Xenopus tropicalis: one gene and its partners. The protein of the gene in region 1 interacts with the protein of each later gene in a pairwise test. Links are inferred from orthologs where the notes say so. Each region holds a gene or a part of one and is shown in the gene's direction. Other genes may lie near its edges.

Evidence for each region.
Region 2: the proteins of srsf1 (region 1) and rnps1 interact in a two-hybrid assay, tested with the Homo sapiens proteins (2 studies listed by BioGRID and IntAct, with this or other methods). The link is inferred for Xenopus tropicalis from reciprocal best matches to the Homo sapiens genes SRSF1 and RNPS1.
Region 3: the proteins of srsf1 (region 1) and lnx1 interact in a two-hybrid assay, tested with the Homo sapiens proteins (3 studies listed by BioGRID and IntAct). The link is inferred for Xenopus tropicalis from reciprocal best matches to the Homo sapiens genes SRSF1 and LNX1.
Region 4: the proteins of srsf1 (region 1) and nxf1 interact in binary tests that used the Homo sapiens proteins (3 or more experiments, as listed by UniProt). The link is inferred for Xenopus tropicalis from reciprocal best matches to the Homo sapiens genes SRSF1 and NXF1.

What each region holds. Positions count from the first base shown.
Region 1 is NC_030678.2:76,102,730-76,108,324, forward strand, and holds the start of srsf1 (serine/arginine-rich splicing factor 1), read left to right. Parts: upstream 1-2,353; 5' UTR 2,354-2,607; coding exon 2,608-2,801; intron 2,802-3,782; coding exon 3,783-4,024; intron 4,025-4,851; coding exon 4,852-5,024; intron 5,025-5,275; coding exon 5,276-5,470; 3' UTR 5,471-5,595. UniProt on the Homo sapiens protein: Plays a role in preventing exon skipping, ensuring the accuracy of splicing and regulating alternative splicing.
Region 2 is NC_030685.2:21,738,744-21,744,182, forward strand, and holds the start of rnps1 (RNA-binding protein with serine-rich domain 1), read left to right. Parts: upstream 1-1,970; 5' UTR 1,971-2,088; coding exon 2,089-2,090; intron 2,091-5,439. Other genes in the region: uncharacterized protein LOC100490582, read right to left, coding at 1-401. UniProt on the Homo sapiens protein: Part of pre- and post-splicing multiprotein mRNP complexes. Auxiliary component of the splicing-dependent multiprotein exon junction complex (EJC) deposited at splice junction on mRNAs.
Region 3 is NC_030677.2:39,761,606-39,766,498, reverse strand, and holds part of lnx1 (E3 ubiquitin-protein ligase LNX), read left to right. Parts: intron 1-1,064; coding exon 1,065-1,312; intron 1,313-2,775; coding exon 2,776-2,937; intron 2,938-4,194; coding exon 4,195-4,397; intron 4,398-4,893.
Region 4 is NC_030680.2:36,514,673-36,519,565, reverse strand, and holds part of nxf1 (nuclear RNA export factor 1), read left to right. Parts: intron 1-5; coding exon 6-110; intron 111-716; coding exon 717-797; intron 798-876; coding exon 877-946; intron 947-1,027; coding exon 1,028-1,116; intron 1,117-4,893.

The sequences.
Region 1 (5,595 bases):
AATACATAATCCACAGCTCTAGAATTCAGCATGAACTCCAAACTTTAGGCACAAAATTGACAATTGTTTCCCTTTTTGGTACCGTTTGAGTGGATATGTTTTAATTTCATTTTTACAACTGTATGGATTTAGATACTAGAACAACAACAAATTCCTTCTTTTGAAACGGATGCCCTTGTGTCTGCTGGAAGGACCTACTGGTAAATAAAGCATTAGAGAGATAATATGGTCCCCTTATATAGTTATACATATATACGGGGATCATAAATGAGAGCGCAATTGCTCTTTTTAATCAGAATTTTTGTTCTTAAGGTTGCCAGAAGCGACACTCCTGTTAACTTGCCCGGCACTACCATCAGAGGCAATTTTTTCAACTTTTCAACGTGCTGCTGCCATGAGGATAGTTAAGAAACTCACCTTTGGTGGCAGCGCCCGGCAAGTTACCAGGGGTGGCAAAAAAAGATCTTAAAAAATAAAAAGTAACAAAGGAAAACTATATCCCCAATCACTGTAGGTCTCTATAAAATGTATTGCATAAACACCCTTGTGTAAAACCCTGCTTCATCTAAATAAACGATTTTTATAAAAATATACTTTATAGTAGTATGTGCTATTGGGTACTCCTAAATAGAAAGTTGCCATTTTAAGAATTAAGGGCCGCCTCCTGTGATCATAGGATTCACAGTGCACACAAACAAGTCAAGGAAAATATGCATGCTGGGCCCCATCAGCCAATTAATGAACAAAGTTCTGCCTTCTTCCTGTTACAGTTAGAGCTGCATTATTTCTGGTCATGTGATCTCTGAGGGCGCACACAGCCCATCACTAAATTGTGGATCAAGGAAAAGGATTTAAAAGGGCAATATTTACTGATATATATATATATATATATATATATATATATATTCCAGTTTGGCGAGATTCTTTAATAGGTCACTCTGCATAATATAAACTATCTGTTGGTTAAGTATTCATTCTGGGGGTATAGTTTTTCTTTAAAGAGATGAAATTCTGAGCGCTATTTCTCTCTCTACAATACCGATGTGGGGGGAAGCATCAACTTGCACACCTATTCATGACAGTACCCCTTGCCCCCTTTGTTCCACTGTCGGAAGTGACCTCTCAAAAGCTATATTAAATTTGTTCAAAGAAATTTTTGTTTGCTAAAAGGCATACATTTTCGAGTATTTTTCTGTTATGGATTTTTTTTACATTCCAGCATCAGTTTCTTAAATACTTTTGCACTTTTTGAAGTGCTTTTCCACTTCAGCCCAGGGTTGCACTCCCTACTCTGTAAAGCGCTGGGCAATATATAAATGTACGTATAACTTTATTTATAAAGCGTTAGAAGGGTACACAGCGCTATACAATCTTACAATATACACAATTACACACAGGGAGGACAACTGTTATAATAAATACAAGAAGTATAAATACACAGATTGAGCGCCATGTGGTGTGAGAGAGTAGGAAGGAGGTCCCTGCCCCATAGAGCTTACAATTTCACTGCCCAATCTAAGCTCGACTAAAATAAAACAAACAAATATGCACAAGGCCCAAACAGGAGTGTAATGTAAGGCATGTATTTATTATCAACACATAAATATTTGTAGAGTGTAAGCTCTTTTGGGCAGGGCCCTCTTCACCTCTTGTATCGGTTATTGATTGCTTTATATGCTACTCTGTATGTCCAATGTATAAAACCCTTTTATTGTACAGCGCTGCAGAATATGTTGGCGCTTTATAAATAAATGTTAATAATAATAAATAGGACAAAGTCTTCCCAACCTTGTTTGCAATATTACCCTGACAGCAGTTACAAAGTATTGAATTGCAGTGCTACTTTAATGGGGAAACCATTGAGAGTGGACCACAGAGACCTTATCCGCACACCCTAACACTCCAAAAAAAATTTTGTACGGTGCACACTGCTAGAGGGATCGGCACCCTCCAAATACACTGTAACAACAAAAAAAGCAATTGGCACTCAGGACTACAAACAAGGGTAAAACCCTTTTAAAAGTTTTATTGCGGAAACCATTGAGAGCACACCTGTAGTTAATGATTTTCATACTCATAATGAATGTCACTGCAGATAAAGAGCTAACAGCCTCCGACCATGGTTCTATAATACAAAACCACCTAACAACAGCCATGGCGCACGACGAGTAACAAAACATTTTTCAAACAACACCCACTGCCCTCCCCCACTATGGGCGCGCATTTCCTGGACGGACGTGACGTCAAGCACAGGGTATAGAAAGCCCCCCTATCACATACAGAGAAGCAGCTTGAGCTCAGGTTTCTAGTATAAATATTACCTCAGTGAATAGATTCTTTCTTAGGGCCGTAATTGGCACATAGCTTTAGGAACATTGCATCGTGAAGACGTGGAAACGAGAGGCTCTATATTGTCTCGGCGTAAGATTACCTTTGTTGAGGACGCACCACTGCGAGTTCTTAGTATCCTTGCGCGGCTAAAGCAAGGGAGGAAGTAACTCCGCCATCTTGTCCAAGCTCTGAAGCGCGCATCGAAGGTCTGTTTGGCTTCCAACTCCATTTCTTTTTCTTCTCAATCCGTCTCCCTTTAAATCCATCAAGCTGGATATGTCAGGGGGCGGCGTGATTAGGGGGCCGGCGGGTAACAACGATTGCCGTATCTATGTTGGCAATCTGCCGCCAGACATCCGCACCAAGGACATTGAGGACGTTTTCTACAAGTATGGGGCCATTCGGGACATAGACCTAAAGAACCGCAGAGGGGGCCCGCCATTCGCCTTTGTGGAATTCGAAGATCCAAGGTAATCCCTGTGTAAATGTTTTTGCTTTGGCCTATCGTGCTAATGGGCTCGCCTAGTGTTAACTGGTGAATAACTACAATATACCTTGAGTGTATCCGGGGGCGGGGTGGTGGTACTGCGACTTTATTTCTGCTGTAGTTGATAAAATGTCGTCCGCTGTTGTATTAGAGTTTATATATAGTCGAGGAGGCCAGTGAGGGGGGGAATTAGGCCTGATTATGGTGCAGGTTATGTTTCAACATCGGTGCGTTGTATCATTATTCAAGTTAATATATTTAGCCTATAATCCCTACAGAGTGGCGCCAGAATGAGGTATTATACACTCATTGTGTATCGCCATTAGCACGTGTAAATCCCTATTTATTACCGCCTTTAGGCAACAGCGCCCCCTGTGTGTGGGACCGAATAGCGCTTCCGCTCTTTGTTCTGCAGCCCTGCACCATGCTTACTAGTGTGTTAAGGGAAGGCATTCTAACAAGCAAATGTGCTTTGGGTTATTTATTGACCTGTTTGCTTTAAAGCCGCTGCCTCATGTCTCTGCTATAAAGCATGCAATTAGGCTCACTGCACTTATTCAACCAGAACTCCTAACACCTTTTATGTAGGCTGCTTGGAGAAGTGCAGTATTGATATTCAATAGCAACACTACAAAATGAATAATGGGTGTTTAAGCATCTGCACTATATGCACATATGTAAAGTATTGGTGAAAATGTACTGTTTAAATGTAAATACAAAAGCTTTTGTGTAGTCATGGGGGCAGCCATTCATGTCTAAAAGACTGTTAAGATACAATGGCTTGCTTACACAGAATTAATCTGGGGTCATGTGTCGTTTGTAGCTCTATACATGACTGTAATAAAGTTTTCTCATTTACAGCCAAGAAAGTTTTCCAGGATATGTAATTACCATTGTAGGTGAATATTCTCTTCTTAACCTGGCATTCTTTAACTAAAGCAATTCTTACCTTGGTTTCTCTTAGGGATGCAGAAGATGCTGTCTATGGTAGAGATGGCTATGATTATGATGGCTATCGCTTGCGTGTTGAGTTTCCAAGAAGTGGGCGAGGAGCTGGAGGCAGAGGTGGTGGTGGTGGTGGCGGCGGCGGAGGAGGAGGTGGTGGAGGCGGCGGCGGCGGTGGTGGTGGTGGCGGCGGAGGAGGAGCTCCCCGAGGGAGATATGGACCTCCATCAAGACGTTCAGAATACAGAGTGGTTGTGTCAGGTAAGAGTTCTATCAGGTGGCAGGTTTAAAAACCAAAGTAAAAACATCAGTTGCAAAGTTTTAGAGGAATAATGCCCATCAGGTTTTTACAAGCAGCGTTATTTCACATGTATACAATAATGAGTTGGACACAGTTATGCATACATTCTAAAGTATTATGCATTCTATACCAGTGGATATGACTGACCATTAATGTATACAAACAGAACTACTAGTATATCTCCCTTTAACTTTAGTTCAGTTAACGGCTTGCATCAGCTTAACAGAACTTAAGCAACTCTCTGCTTGGTCCTTGCAAGGTAGATAATTGTATTACAGTTCACACACAATTCTCCTGCATAATGGACTTCAAACCATGCAGTCACAAGAAAAGGGAAGGATAGGGTATTGTCTTCAAACAAGATATTAAATGGCCCTGTCTGGTTGCTCAGGATGCTATCTGGACTATGAAAACTTGCACATGTTGCTATGTTACCTTCAGTTCAAACATGAAGCACTGCAACAAATTTACCTTTAAAACGTACTAAATGTAAACCCCTGAGTTATTTTAGCAGAATTGGGCTGTTGTGAGTCTCGCTGGAAGCATGGTTCAGATTAAAACAATGGGTTTTCCCCAGGATGCTGTGTTCATTTAAGCAATACAGCTGTCTTTGGACTGTTTTAATGCTCCATGCATTGCTGTATAACCAGCATAGATACCTACTCTTGGAATTTTGGCACTAGAAGTTCATAAACCATTTTAAATTTCCACCATTTGCATGCTTTTAATTATGTATAAAACTGCTTTTGATACCAAATTTGACACTCTGATAACTTTATATTTCTAGGGTTGCCTCCAAGTGGCAGCTGGCAGGATTTAAAGGATCACATGCGTGAAGCAGGTGATGTATGTTATGCCGATGTGTTCCGAGATGGTACTGGAGTTGTGGAGTTTGTGAGGAAAGAAGATATGACATATGCAGTACGGAAGCTGGATAACACTAAATTTAGGTCTCATGAGGTAAATACTAAATTGTTTAGTAGTTTGTGTTAAGTTTTTCTCTACCTATTGTGACTAGCAGTATCTGTTTTACATGACCTCTGAAGCCAATAGTGATGTTGGCCAAATACATAAGGTGCCAAAAGATATGGGAATTTTAAATTTTCTGTATAATGTACTATAGTTGCTTGACTTTTATCGTTCTTTGATGTGCCTAAGTTCATAAGATATTGAAGATTGGCTTGTTCAAATCCAGCTTCTCTCATTGATAGGGAGAGACTGCCTACATTCGTGTTAAGGTAGATGGTCCAAGAAGTCCCAGCTATGGAAGATCGCGGTCACGCAGCCGCAGTCGTAGCAGGAGCCGTAGTAGAAGCAACAGTCGCAGCCGAAGTTACTCTCCAAGAAGAAGCCGTGGTTCTCCACGCTACTCTCCTCGCCACAGCAGATCTCGCTCTCGTACATAAATGAAAAACACGTGATGCTTTTTGTAGACCCTCATGTTGTATACAGTTTTCTTTACTTTCATTTTTTTAAGTCACTGTTTTATTCAATTTTGCCGAAGTGTTGAATCCTTTGTGTAGTATTGCCA
Region 2 (5,439 bases), on another chromosome or scaffold:
AGTCTCTGGTTGCTGGAAGATGCCTGAAAGGCATGGTTACCTTTGGATAGAGAGGTCACACTCACTATCTTGATACCTTCTTCCTGGCTGACCACTTGCGGTACCCTGTGTCCAGCATCAAGTTTAGTCTCTGTACTGGCTGGCTTCTGCCCAGTCTCCTGATAGGGAGTCCAAGGCTGGCGGTCTGCCCATGGCTGTGCTCTTGGGGGAATGCTTTGGGTCTGGTTGGCAGAGGATGACTTTTCAGGTTCAATGTTCTTTCTTTTAAGGAAGAGATAGATGGCTTGTGGTGTCACCTTAATATTATCCAACTCCAGAACTTTCTTTATTTTACGAAAGCTTAACCCGGCTTTCCTCAAGATCACAATCCTGTGCTTCGCATTCTCATCCAATCGCCCCATATTTCTAGCATTCAGCAAACTTTACGGGGCTGAAATAGATTGAAACCACATCCGTCACAAAGTTTTGCGATTAATCAAAAGTCTCAGTGCACTGATCTCAATTAAGATCCACCCACAATCCAATCAAATGTGGATGAAAAATATTGCATTAATAACCAGTGGTGCTCAATCTGGGTTCTAAAGCCAGTGGTGGTGCTAAATCTTTGGGCAGCAGAACCACTCGGCCAAGCTGATTCCCTTTAATAAACCAGTCGCTGGATTCTGATTGGTGGAAGGTGATGCAGTTATATTCCACCATGACCTTAAATTGGATCCTTGTTGTATTCGGTTTCAGAAGTTCTGGCCCCAAGATATTCCACCTGCTAAACAGGTACTTTTATTTCATTGCTTGCAACTAATGATCTGAAGAAAACAGGAGGTTGGTGTTAGAGTCATGAATAAAACCAATATCATTTCTCACTACATACATTAGGACACAAGTAATTCTGACCCCTACCCATGATAAAACTGCCCAGTCCTTCTTTATACGCAGTCATCAGAGATACAGACACCCACTCCTCATATGGGAACATACCTTTCACTTCCAACTAACAGACATCAGGGCACCTACCTCTCACCTCCTCCTAATACATCCACAGAACCTGCTTCTCTCCCCACCTAATAAAAATAGGTCAGGGGGCTCATTAAAGGTGATGCTGATACCAATCAAACCCTTCAGGCAGGCAATTCTGTGTTGTGAGTACAGTAACTGACCCTTTAAGTTCTCTGTGGATTTGAGTGTAGCATTAAAAGGAATATGCACCTTATTTATAAGAGGGGAAATATTCCCTTTATGAGAGGACAGATCAGAACAGCTTCCCTCCAAACCTTAGGGACCTTCTGGAAGGTTCAATGAAACCTTACTGAATCCTGTACAATGTATACAAACCTTATGCTTGCCCTAGGCGACCTAAGTAAGGTTTATGGATGCCCTTTATAACTCAGGCAAACCTAAGGGTTGCCCTGGGCAACTCTAGCGGGACTTATGGTGGCCTTGACAACTCATGCAAACCCCCTAGACAGCCGGGTTTATGGGGGTTCCCAACAACTCAAGCAAACCTTATGGGGAGCTAGACTAGTTGCACTCTTTTTTCCCAAAGGTAAAGGGTCACCCTTGCTTTTTGTCACACTCACCACCTTATGGGCCCCAAAAGTGCGACGAGACACGTAAAGCAATCCTCCCATCCGGAAGAACTAACATCCCTGCACCTCTCCTAACACAGGCCACACTTGCCTTTATAGCGGCTGTCCCTCGCACCTATCTATATACCGACGCGTAGTTGTACTTCTGGCACAGTTTCTTTATAACCATATCGCACTTAGTGTTTGTTTACGGAGCAAAACAGGAAGCAGCATAGGTTTCCGCTCCGTGCAATAGACATACACGCACACATATTAACCCCGTCACTCCTAGAAATGACAATTACTAGTAATGTTCCTGCTGCAACTCGGGACTATCCTACTTCTTTAAAAGGCTGAATCGCATTTGCGTCCGCTGTTGTGCCACGCCCACGTCCAGCAATGTGTGACGTCAGCGCCAAGGCGACCAGAGTCGCTTATCTTTTGTTTCAAGATGGCGGCGACACGTCACAACGAACGCGACGGTTTATCTGATCTTAGAAGGGACAGGCAACGAAAGAGCGGCAAAATGTAAGCGGAGCTCCATAATCTTTTTCCATCCTGCAGCGCTGCTTTCCGTACGAGTTGGATATTGGTGGGACGGTGCAGGGGAAGCATGGCGGGTTCTATTCACCGATGTATTGATTAAGAGAGAGCAGGGTGGTGTTTGGGATTGGCCCCGAACGCAGTACCGAGGATTTATGGGGGTATAGGCCGCAGCTGATTGGATACACATATCGCTGCGTCTATACCTTCCTGGGGAGTTGTTTCTTCTGCACACTATTCCCTTTGTATATGGGTTTGGGCGATTTCTTCTTTATGTAAAATGAATTCTTTCTGAGCTTGCACTGGTTAAATTGTTGTGTTTATGTAAGGGGACAACAAAAATGGCTGCCACTGCTTGACTGCCCCCGTCTAGGGAAGGCTGCCTTGTATTTCTCTCTGGGTATATTCCCTCAATGTGTATATGCTTTGCACTGGATTTTTTCATTCATTGATATGTGCTGCTGCCCTGTGGGTTTGCTTACGTTTTGTATTGGGGCACCATTAGTTTTAGTGCTTTAATATATGTATTAAATGTCTGGAAAAACCTTGGGGTTCTTGGATCTCCAGTAATTCTGTATTTATATAACAGCAACATTATACTCCATTTACATCAGAACCTGCCCCAGTCTAAGGGTTACATATAAACTCCTTGTAGATAGTGACCCCCAGCTGGAATTGAACATTAGGACCCCAGCGCTGCCCAAACGTACTATGCTCTACCCCATTGTTATTAAAGGAACAGTAACACCAAAAAAATTAAAGTTTTTTTTTAAAGTAATTATAATATAATGTATTGTTGCCCTGCACTGGTAAAAATTGTGTTTGCTACAGTAACACTACTATAGTTTATATAAATAAGCTGCTGTGTAGCCATGGGGGCAGCCATTAAAGTTGGAAAAAAGGAGAAAAGGCACAGGTTACATAGCAGATAACAGATAAGTTCTGTAGAATACAATAGTTTATCTGTTATCTCCTATGTGCCTGTGCCTTTTCTCCTTTGAATGGCTGCCCCCGTGGCTAAACAGCAGCTTTGTTTATATAAATTTCTGAGGCAAACACACCAGTTGTACCAGTGCAGGGCAGCAGTATATTTTATTATTATTTTTATACATTTTCATTTTTTGGTGTTACTGTTCCTTTAAGTGCCACAGTTGCATGGATATAGGTGTTATAGGGCCACCATGGCATTTTAAATCCCCCCTTCCTTGTTTTCTAATTGTTCAACTTATCAGGATAAAGGTTTCAAGTGTTGCCTGCAAATTAATGAGGAGGGATTAAGGGCTCTGGTACACGGGGAGATTAGTCGCCCGCGGCAAAACTCCCTGCTCGCGGGCGACTAATCTCCCCGAGTTGCCTTCCCTCTGCCATCCCACCGGCGAACATGTAAGTCGCCGGCGGGATGGCAGACGCGGCGGCGCGATTTCGCGCAAATCGCCGAAAAAGACTCGCGAGGCTTTTTCGGCGATTTCCCGAAATCGCCTCGCCGGTGTAAGTCGCCGGTGGGATGGCAGAGGGAAGGCAACTCGGGGAGATTAGTCGCCCGCGAGCAGGGAGTTTTGCCGCGGGCGACTAATCTCCCCGTGTACCAGAGCCCTTAAGGAGAGATACAATACAAGGTGGTGGCCATAGCTATGTTGTACATATATGCTTTGAGGTTGGGGAGAGTCTGAACCACACTGACCTGCGTGTTTCCAGTACCCATAATAAAGCCTCCATCTGCGTTTACACAGACCAACATAATTTAACTTTTAATCGCTGTAATAACCGGTACATGTTACTCCCACTTGCATTTTTCAGCTGTTTGACCCTGTATCACCCTTACAGGAACATTCTAAAAAAAAAAAAGCAGTTGCGCACCAGATGAAGTGCTCAGCTGTACGCGGCTTAAAGCGGAAGTCAGCGTTTTATTGTAAAGGTCTGATTGGTTGCTATGGGTAACATCACCACTGAAGTTTGTCTCCAGGGGTAATAAGTACGCCCTTAAGTGATTCTCCAGAATGGCCGTCCTGCTCATAATTCAGTAGGCAAGTGTGCACTGCATTGGCAAGCAGGGTACTCAGTGCCCAAGAACCCCCAATACCCAGTTGCACCAATGCTGTAGAAGGTTTGGAGATCAGCAAAGGAGAGATTTTCATCAGGAGTGCAGCACTGCTGGCTGGGTACTGGCTCTTAAGGCACAAACCCCTATAAGAAGGCACTTTGGTTCCCAGAAGCAGCCACATAATACAGCACTGACACTCCACTAAGCACTGGAAGGCATTATTTTTCATGGGAGGAATCGGGTTTCTTGTGCTTCAGGCTGCTCTAGGTTGGATAATATAGTTATTATTAGTTGCCTTGAAAGTGCCATCTCCAGGATATATGGTACCCCCACTCCAGTGAATATAATCACTTACCTGATACTCTGGGCCAGACATCTGTGTGCTGAAGAGTGCACCAGCCTGGGGCTTAAGAAAAGATTGCAGTGTGGCACTCTTACAGATGTACCCTGGGCCAGTGCGTTTTTCAGCAAACAGGAGCACTCGCCTGGGGTATTAGCAAAGCGTTGGCAATTACTGGAGTGCACCTAACATTTGGCACCCCCCAGTGATTATACATTTCCTTCTCCTTTAATCCCATGCACCCCACCAGTTCTTTAGCCCTACCATCCTAGCGTATCACCTGGAAGCACATTCCCAGAGCTGCCTTTTACTCGCCCGTGATAGATCTCTGTTATCGAGGGCATCTAACCACTCTGAAAATGCCTTTCCACTGGCAACAATAGGAGTTTCCGGTGGAAAGGCCTTTGCGTCGCTTTGGTTTTCTGAGCTTGCCTGCAGGAGGAAACTCTGCACAACTTCAGAAAACCAAAGCAATGTGAAGGCCTTTCCACCAGCGATTCCTGTTTGTGCCAGTGGAATGGTATTTCGGAGCCATTAGTTGTCCCCGGTAGCAGGGATTTCTAACTGTCTGCTAACACATTTCATGGGACATCAGCCTAATGTCACTAGGCATTAGAGTGTTTCTCATCACAGCATGCTGTATATGATTAATGAACTGCATCTGAGCAGCAAGATGGTTTTTCTTGGGCCAGTATCAGCCGTCTGTTCTTGGCCAAGTTTGTTTGATTAGACAGATATCAATTGGAGGGCTAGAAAATCCTGTCTGGACTATATCTGGCTGTGGGTGTGGTGCTGTCCTGGAAGGGGTGCACGGGCTCCCTATGTGGCATGACTGTCTGGGCTGGGGTCGATTTGGACTAGCACTTGTCTTGACAAATCAAGCAAACATCTGCGTGTGGCTGGATTTGGGCTTTATTACTTGTGGTTTTTGTTCATGTACAAACTAAATAAAC
Region 3 (4,893 bases), on another chromosome or scaffold:
CTGGCAAATGCCAGTGGGGGCTGCTACTAGATGCTGTTGGGCCTGGTGGAGCCTGTTTGGGCCTCTGTGTACTTAAAATTTCAGGGCCTTGTGTCTCAATCCCATTGATTATGGTATTCATGTAGAGACAACCTTGTGGTGGATCCTTAGTTAAAATAGGCCTTCCAGGCCCCATTGTTTTTAGTAAGACTGACCTATCAGCTGTTGTATAACTTTATCTTTCTCACTGGATGCTGGTACAGGTATGGGACCTGTTATCCAAAATGCTCTGGGGTTTTCCAGATAAGGAATCTTACCTTAATTTGGATCTCCATACTTTAAGTCTGCTAAAAATTTGTTTAAACATCACAAAAAGTCAACAGAATGGGGTTTCCCCCAATAAGGATTAATTATATCTTAGATGGGTTTAAGTACAAGGTTCTGTTTTTTATTACAGAAAAAAATAAATCAGTTCTAAAAAATGTAATTATATAATTAAAATGGAGTCTATGGGAGATGGCCTTCCCGTAATTTGAAGCTTTATGGTTTCAGAATAATGGATCCCATACCTTACTGAAGGGTTGTAGGGGGCTACATTTTTGCACTAATCATCTTGTCCTTCTGTTGCCATCTTATCCTACTATAACCATCTTGCACTACTGCCCCTCACTCTTCTTATATATAAAATTACACTTGCTGCTCTACAGCGCCATCAAATTTGTACCTTCTAAAGACAGCCATGTTCCCTTGTGCCCAGTCTTTATACTGCCCTGTGGCTGATCACATGTTCCATGTTTCATGTGCTTGATAAGCAACAAAAAGCAACTCAGGTAAGCAGATTTAAAGTGGGAAGCATCTATCACCTCTTACCACCCTACAGATCTCTACACACTATACCTCTAACAATATTTACATGGGTTAAACTCACAATACCAAAGAGTCTAAGCCAAATACAAAAATATATATGTATATTGCTGTCTAGAAAACAGCAGAAATGCCATGGCACATTTGAAGTTTTGTACTTTATGACAATATGATATGTCATGCTAAAGTTTGTACTGTAATATAATGTTTTTGTCTTCTAGGTGTAAAGGAGCATCACATTATGGCCTTACCAAAGAGCGTAAAAGACGATCACAAGACAGTTCCGCAGACTGCAGCTCCTCTTTGGATCTCACTGTTGCAGCCGTCTCCCCTGAGCTTTCAGCTTCAGCAGCCATAGCCTTAGCAACTGAAGAAACTGGCCAAGACAATCCAGCATTTAGTCCTGCCAAAGGAGAAAGCCACACTGCCTGTGAAGCTGAAGAAAACTGCAGGCTTAACCGGAACAGAAGTAAGGCAATGTACACTGGGAAAAAAACCCTCTTTTTTTAATAATAAACATGGATGCTTTTTGAGATTGCTGTTCAGTAATACAAAAGCTTCTTATAACTGATTATTACACAACTGAGTTATTGAATAGTACTGACAAAACCAAGCATTATATTTCACACTCAATAGGGGGCAACTTGCTCTGTAATGTCCCACAAGTTTTTCCTATTGTACAACCTGCTACCATTATTGGAAGGGCAGTGCCTTTACTAGTTAGTGACTCCTAGAATAGTTCACAAAGTGAGAAATCCTATCACTGGCATTGGCAATGGTGAGTTGTACCTTTGAGATGGCCACACCTCAGTCCCATCTAATAAATCCCTATTTGTATCTATCCTGGTAAGAGTAACTCATAGGTACAAATACGTACAACCAATCAGATTTTGTATTATACTGATAACTGGTGTTACTGTAAGCAGTGCAGTAGCATTTCTGCCCAGAGCTCAAGGGTACTATCTGCAAGGGTGTTTTTGTATGTTCTCCTCATGTCTGTGTGGGTTTCCTATGGGTATTCCAAGTTACCTCCTAAAAACATATAGGCAGGTTATTTGGCCTCTGACTAAATTAACCACACTGTGTGTGTGAATGTGATAGGCACCTTAGATTGTAAGCGTCTCTGGCGCAGCGAGTGATGTGTATGATAAATAAACTCTGTAAAGTGCTGTGGGAATGTGCTGGCGCTATATAAATAACTGGAAAAAAAATAATGAAATACTGCACCTGTGCATGTTTCCAGATTTCTCCACTGGCATATGTTTAAAGGCATAGGTAGTAACCCAGAAGTAACCACTGGAAGTGAGAAAACCACCAGTCATAACATAAAGCTTGTCCCAAGTATGGCTATGTCCCATTATTATGGATTAGAAAAATGTACTGCACTGCAGTTTAGGGCCCCTGATTTTCTTCACTAGGGAGTCTTCCTGTGCCAGCCTAGTGAACTGCAAACATAAGTGGTGCACACAAATTAATTGATTCATTGGGGTTTCAAAAGGATAATATAAGCCCCTATTCAGACTTTAGCTTTGATAAAATAACGTATATTAGATTTTCTGTGTGACTGCGGAAGTTCATACAAAAGTAGAGATACAGCTTCAATCACACATTGAAGTCGCCATCAGATGTCAGTAAAAACTTGATTTTATTCATTCATTCATCTAAAAACAAAAAGCCTGGCGCATTTCATGCGCACTTAATCGTGGTTATGACCTGATTATTTATATTTATTTAACATTTGGTTTATGTTGAATAAGCACCAGCATCTCAAGTCATTACAAGTTATAATTTATGTGCTTGAAACAATTGTTATGTTTTGAACAGTCTAAGAGTGCTTTTCTTATTTATTTGGTTTTGATTCGGTTTGGTTCATTATAGCCAAACACTAGAGAACCACTGGGCTGTTGTAACAGAACTGTTTTCTGTTTTCAGATCGAAACTTTGAGCGTTCCACTGTCAGGAGTCTGTCTTTCAAGAAACTAAATCGAGCATTTAGTGTCCTTCGGAGAACAAAGAGTGGGAGCTCTGTGGTACATGCATCTGACAGAGAGAGAGCAAACCTGCAAAATGCCAACATCGTAGAAGACCCTATGGGTTTGTTTTACTCTACATTTCTCGTCACACAGATTTTTTTTTGTCTTACTCTACATTGTTTGATGTTCATATTTATTTATTAATTAGTGCCCTCTACACTCATGGGCCCCCCTGCAACTGCAGGGTCTGCTTCCTCTGTAGTTATGCCTACCCTAAAAAACATTATGTGGTAAAAATGACCTTCTAGTAGAATCTTTACTATTCACTTTCTACAAAGAATCACACAAGGGGACTCATTTACTTTGCATTTACTTATTGTTAATTAGGGCCAAATCAAAGCGCTAGTGGTTATTATAGTGATAGCATTTTAATACTTTTTACAGCGAAAAAAACTCCATATGAATATAATAAATGCATTTGAGGCACCATGAGCAAAAACATACAGTAAGCCATGCCAAATTTTTGGTGGTGGCATCATGGTCACATGCCTAGGGACCTCTATTCTCTTGTCTCTTTGATTCTTAACTTGTTGCAACTTTGCTGTGTATTTATTGTTATACTTTGTAGTTATCTGTTATTATTTTAATAACCCCCTGTTATATTAATCTATTCTACTGTGCAGCGCTGCGTACATAAGTAATGTTTTATAAATAAAGATATGCATACATACATGTTCATGACCCCAGCTTGCCCACAAGTGTGCTTTGTTTGTAAGACGGTAGCTAGCTGCTCAGTCACACAAAGCATCGGGCTAAAATGGGCAACCTACTTGGTGGTGTCTTCCAGCCTTTATTCATTCATATAGTCACAGTAGTGTCTTTCCATTCACTCCCAGCATTGAGTCATATATATTAGAAGCCAGTTAACCTGCCTAAATGTTTTCAGCAAGGACTCTGGAGCACTTGAAATAATTCCATAGAGACTTTGTGAGAAATGTAGATAGTGCCCCAGTGGCAATCAGACACCAAGACCATAGTACTCAAAAACCGCAATGCTAACCACTTGGCCACCCCAATATATGAGGGGTTTCCAAATGTATATTTTACTAGACAGTAAAAAAAAGCTGGTTTATTCAAAGTATTGCTTTGTATTGAAGCTTTCTTATCTATTGACATGGCAACTTAATTACCAAACTGTCTCATTTATTAGACTTTGTGGTTGGGCATAATTGTCAATTAAAAATGCAATAGGTATGGGCATTTCTACCTATATTAAAGAAGTTTGTATGTTCTCATATTAAAAAAAAAATTCTAGGTCCAACAATGTTCCCTTTAAAGTTTCTAGTGAAGTAATATTTTCCTGTTTGTTTAACCACAGGTCTTCCGAGACAATATCACCTGATTCCAGATGGAGAGATTACCTGTATTAAAATCAATAGGGCAGATCTCAATGAAATCCTTGGAATTAGGATTGTTGGAGGCAATGAGACACCATTGACTCAAATCATTATACAGCACATTTATCAGGATGGTGTAATTGGTCGAGATGGGAGACTTCTTCCAGGAGACATGATATTAAAGGTAAAATGTCAACACATACAGGGAAACTAGGTCAGTGTTACACAGCTCTGGGTTTTAATGAGATCATGGGTTGGGGACTCCTTTTATTTATCCTGTTCCATATGATGGGATCCATCTTGTTTGGGTGAACAAGTTCACTAAAAACTTTGGTTTGTATATAGTTGTACAGGTATATATATCGCTTTTATATAGATATTTATATATGCATAAATGAGATGGGCAACCTAAAAGTGTTCAGATGTTATACTGTTATATGTTATAAGTTTTATGGTGGATACTGGGATCCATCACACGATTGCTAAGCCTCCCATACTTCCTCAAACAGTGAAGTGGCCAAATTCTAAAGAATTAGGGGCATCATTTCTCTGGATATGGGGTTAGTCAGGTGTTTGAATTCAGCTATCCTATTAATCCTTGAGTGCAATGCAACACTGTTATGTCATGAACACAATATCATGCAATATCATGTTCTTTCACTTGTAAATGAGCCATGTGC
Region 4 (4,893 bases), on another chromosome or scaffold:
AATAGTATCACACTGACCATAACCGGGCTCACTTCTTTGTTGAAGACTCTGCTGCTGCAAAAGCCTTAAAGCAGCTATCTAGGACATTCACAGACAGAGAAAACTTCAAGGTAAGTAGTGATTTTGTTTTTAGGCATTTAAAAGACAATGCTAATAAAGTAGTGGTATATTCAAACATATAGGGGCTGATTTACTTACCCACGAACGGGTCGAATGGAGTCCGATTGCGTTTTTTTCGTAATGATCGGTACTTTGCGATTTTTTCGTATGTTTTTGCGATTTTTTTTGCGTAGCGTTAAAACTTACGCGAAAAGTTGCGCATTTTTCGTAGCGTTAAGTTTTAACGCTACGAAAAATGCGCAACTTTTCGCGTAAGTTTTAACGCTACGAAAAATGCGCAACTTTTTACGCAACTTTCGTAATGGATACGAAAAACTTGCGTTTTTACGCAAAAATCGTATTGGATCCGAAAAATTCGTACAGAATCCGAAAAAATCGCAGAACATACGAAAAAGTCGCAAAATGTTCGTTTTCAAGTCGGAACTTTTCCAATTCGGGTCGGATTCGTGGGTTAGTAAATCAGCCCCATAGAGTAGAGCATTGTGTTACAAAATGTTATCATTGAAATGTTGCAGGTTCCATTTTTTTTTTTTTTTTTTTTACAGCATTTTACTAATACTTTTGTTTTTAAGTTTTTGTTACTCCCCACTCTACAGATCACTATTTTAACACGGCCATGCCCGCCTCCTCAGAACTTTACAAAGGAAATAAAAGATGAAGAGTTAGAACATTTTAAGGTACACATCAATAAATGCATTGACAGCATTAATAGAAATAAATTGTTACTAAATTATAAATTCTTGTTTTCTTGCCTAGAACTGTATGCAGAAGAGATATGATGGTGCACATCAAGCCCTGGATATGAAGGCTGTGCGAAGTGACCCTGGTAAAGCCCCTCTAACAGTCTTTTTAACCCACTTTGCCTATCCTTAAGCAGCATCTTAATGTACTCATCTCTTTACCCTAGATTTAGTCGCCAATAAAGTAGATTTAATCCTGAACAGAAAATGCTACATGACGACAATGTTGCAGATAATTGAGGATAATGTACCAGAGGTAGGCAGTTTTGTTTATAGTACTGTACAATTAATGTCTCCAAAGAAGTTAAGTATTGTAATTACAGAGGAAAAGACTTTTGTTCTGGTCATTTAAACCCTAGCAACCACTTTATGTTTAGGTTCATTACTCTTACTACACTAAAGCATGATCATTATGTTTTAGAAGTCTTAAGATTTTCAGCATGCCTAATAAAAAATTTCTGCAAGTGCTGCACATGTGCACAGCAAAGCCAGATCCCACATACAACACATTTGTGAATGTGTATCATGGCTCAGAAAAAAAGATGGTGATTTAGGACCCCAGAAAAAGAGTAGTTTATGCCTGTAAGGGCTCTGGCACACGGGGAAATTAGTCGCCCGCGACAAAACTCCATGTTCGCGGGTGACTAATCTCCCCGAGTTGCCATGACCCGCCATCCCACCGGCGAACATGTAAGTCGCCGGCGGGAAATCGCGCTGCCGCGTGTGCCATCCCATCGGCGACTTACATGTTCGCCGGTGGGATGGCGGGTCATGGCAACTCGGGGAGATTAGTCGCCCGTGACAAGGGAGATTTGTCGCGGGCGACTAATCTCCCCGTGTGCCAGAGCCCTAAAGCTGTAAAAGGTTATCTCTAAAGAGTTTGGATTCTGATAACCAACAGTCAGACAGATTGTGTACAAATTATAAAAGACTGTTGTTACCCTACCCAGACGTGGTCGACCATCAAAGATAACTCCAACTGCAAGGTGTCTAAGGGCTCTGGCACACAGGGAGATTAGTCGCCGGTGGGATGGCATACGCGGCTGCGCGATTTCACTGAAATCGTGCAACTTTCCCCTCAAGGCAACTTGCGCGATTTCACTGAAATCGCGCCGCCGCGTATGCCATCCCACCGGCGATTTACATTTTCGCCGGTGGGATGGCAATCTGGGGAGATTAGTCGCCCGAGACACAGGAGATTTGTCGCAGGCAACTAATCTCCCCATGTGCCAGAGGTTACAAGAAAGAAACCAGAGTAACTTCTAAGAAACTGAAGGCCTGTATCACATTGTTGAATGTTGGATGTTCATGAGTTCGCCATCAGGAGAACACTGAACAGCAATGGTGTGGTAGCAAAGGGAAAGCTACTGCTTTTTCCCCAAAATATTGCTGACTGTCTACAGTTTGCTTAAGATCATGTGGACAAACCAGAAGGATAATGGAAAAATGTTTTGTGGATGGATGAAGCCAAAAGTTTTTGGCTTAAATGAGGAGCGTTTCATTTGGAGAAAGGAAAAACACTGCATTCCAGCATAAGAACCTTATCTTATTTGTGAAATGTGGTGGGAGTGTTGTGGTTTAGGTCTGTCTTGCCGCATCTGGGCCTGTACTGCTTTCTATCATTGATGGAACAATAAGTTCTGAACTATACCAGAGAATTCTAAAGGAAAATGCCAAGACATCTATGAGTGAACTGAATCTCAAGAGACAGTGGGACATGCAGCAAGACAATGATCCTAAACATACAGATTGTTCTACCAAAGAATGGTTAAAGAAGAATAAAGTGAATTTCTTGAAGTCCTGGTTCAACTTTACATTAACTTCTAGTATGTTATAGAATTTCCTATTCCAAGCAACTTTGCAATTGGTCTTCATTATTTGTCTCTCCAAACTATTTGCCTTCCACTTCTACATTTTTCAGTTGGGGTCACTGACCCCTGACAGCTGAAAACTAAAATTTATTAAAATTGTTACTTTTTATTACTTGTCTTACTATTCAGCCCCTCTCAAATTCATATTCTGGTCTTTAGTTTAAGCCAGTGCCTGGTGGCTAAGACCCTAGCAACCAGATAGCTACTGAAATTCCAGACCAAAGTGTTGCTGAACAAAAAGTTAACTGAAAAATACGTGACCAAGTACAGGTGTGGAATCCCTTATCTGGAAACCCGTTATCCAGAAAGCTCCGAATTACGGAAAGCCCGTCTCTCATAGACTCCATTGTAATCAAATACAGAATTTTAAAACTGATTTCCTTTTTCTCTGTAGTAATAAAACTTTACATTGTAATTGATTCCAATTAAGATATATATATATAATCCTTATTGGATGAAAAACAATCCTATTTGGTTTAATGTTTTATTGATTGTTTAGTAGACTTATGGTATAGAGATCCAAATTACGGAAAGACCCCTTATCCGGAATAATTTTTTCAATTTGTTTCATTAGGTTTTCTTCATCTACTTTTAGAACTTGTTTGAAACTGTGATGTTGTTTTAGGTCACATTCTTATACATATATAGAAAATGTTAAAGGGTTCACAAACTTTCATGCACCACTGTATGTTGTATTCTAGCTACATTAAAAGTTTTATATAAGTTATATGAACCTTTTATTATCAACAAAAATACAATTTAAACAGAACACTCTGTATCTTGAGTGCTTATGCCAATTATATATAGTTTTAGGAAGATTTCTAACTTCTTTTCTTATGTAGATTTTTAAATATGGGTAAAAATGTCTTGCCTTGCCAAACCTTTCCTAAGTAGCTGTTTTTGTAACAACACATCAAGACATTCTTTAAAGTATCTTCTCTTCTACAGATTCTTAGATACAAAAAGCATAATAAATATTAATGTACTAAAATGTAGAGATCCTAAAATGTACTGGTTGCATACAGATTTCATTACCCATCAGCTACTGCAAGAACAACACTTGTCAGATACTTTGAGAATTTTTTAAATATAAGGATTTTACACACTAAGAATAATCAATTCTAATAACTGCCACATATTAGATGAAATGCTGATATTTATTACTTTTTCATAGGACTAGAATCATGCCCACAAAAAGTTGTGGAGTGCAGCTTAATCATTTCATATTTGCTCAGTTTATGGTATTGGTCCAGACAATTTCTCATTGGAAGATATCCACCATATTTCTTTTTTATATCAGAAAGTATAGGAAACCCTGTTTTACTCTCTTAAACCACTGGCATATAACATTCTTGTTCAAATTTCTGAAAAATTACAGCAAAGGGCATTGTCTCCAAAATGTTCTTATGTGCAAAGATTTAATAATAATAAAAATTGCTAAGCATTTTCTGAAATGTTTGAAACCTAGTAGCCAGAGAATTGGCAAACTATGTGGAATGCATAGACAACTAAAACATTGCGCACACAATTTTAGGAGCAAAAATAAGAAGAAAAATCAAGAATAATGCAGAATGCAATAAAATCAGTAAAAACTGTGAAATCCGTCAAAGCAATAAAAACAATTTTCAGCAGGATTGTTGGGCAGAATCCCAGTTCTAACTTGTCTTGATGTGCACAAACAAGCAATTGGTAGAAATGTGAGAAAATGCAACTGCTGTTTTTTATATTAATAAGCTGCTTTGTAGCCATGGGGACAGCAAATCAAGTTGGAGAAAAAGAAAGAAAAGGCACATGTTTACATAGCAGGTCTGAGTCTGAGCTTTCAGAAGGAGCCAGCGCTACACATTAGAACAGCTTTCAGATAACCAATTGTTTCTCCTACTCCCATGTAACTGGAGGAGTCTCAAGCCGGACTTGGATGTCTTACTATTGAGCTATTATTGAGCTTACTATTGTGCTATTCTGATATCTACTGTGAGTTGCTATCTTGCTCCCTTCCCGTTGTTTTCCTAGGGGAAAAAGAGAAGGGGGTGATATCACTCCAATTTGCAGCGCAGAAGTAAAATGTGACTGAACTTTATAAGAGCACAAGTCACATGGATGTAGCACCCTCGGATATGAAGAATATGCCTAGCAGTCATGTGATATTTCAAAATTAAATA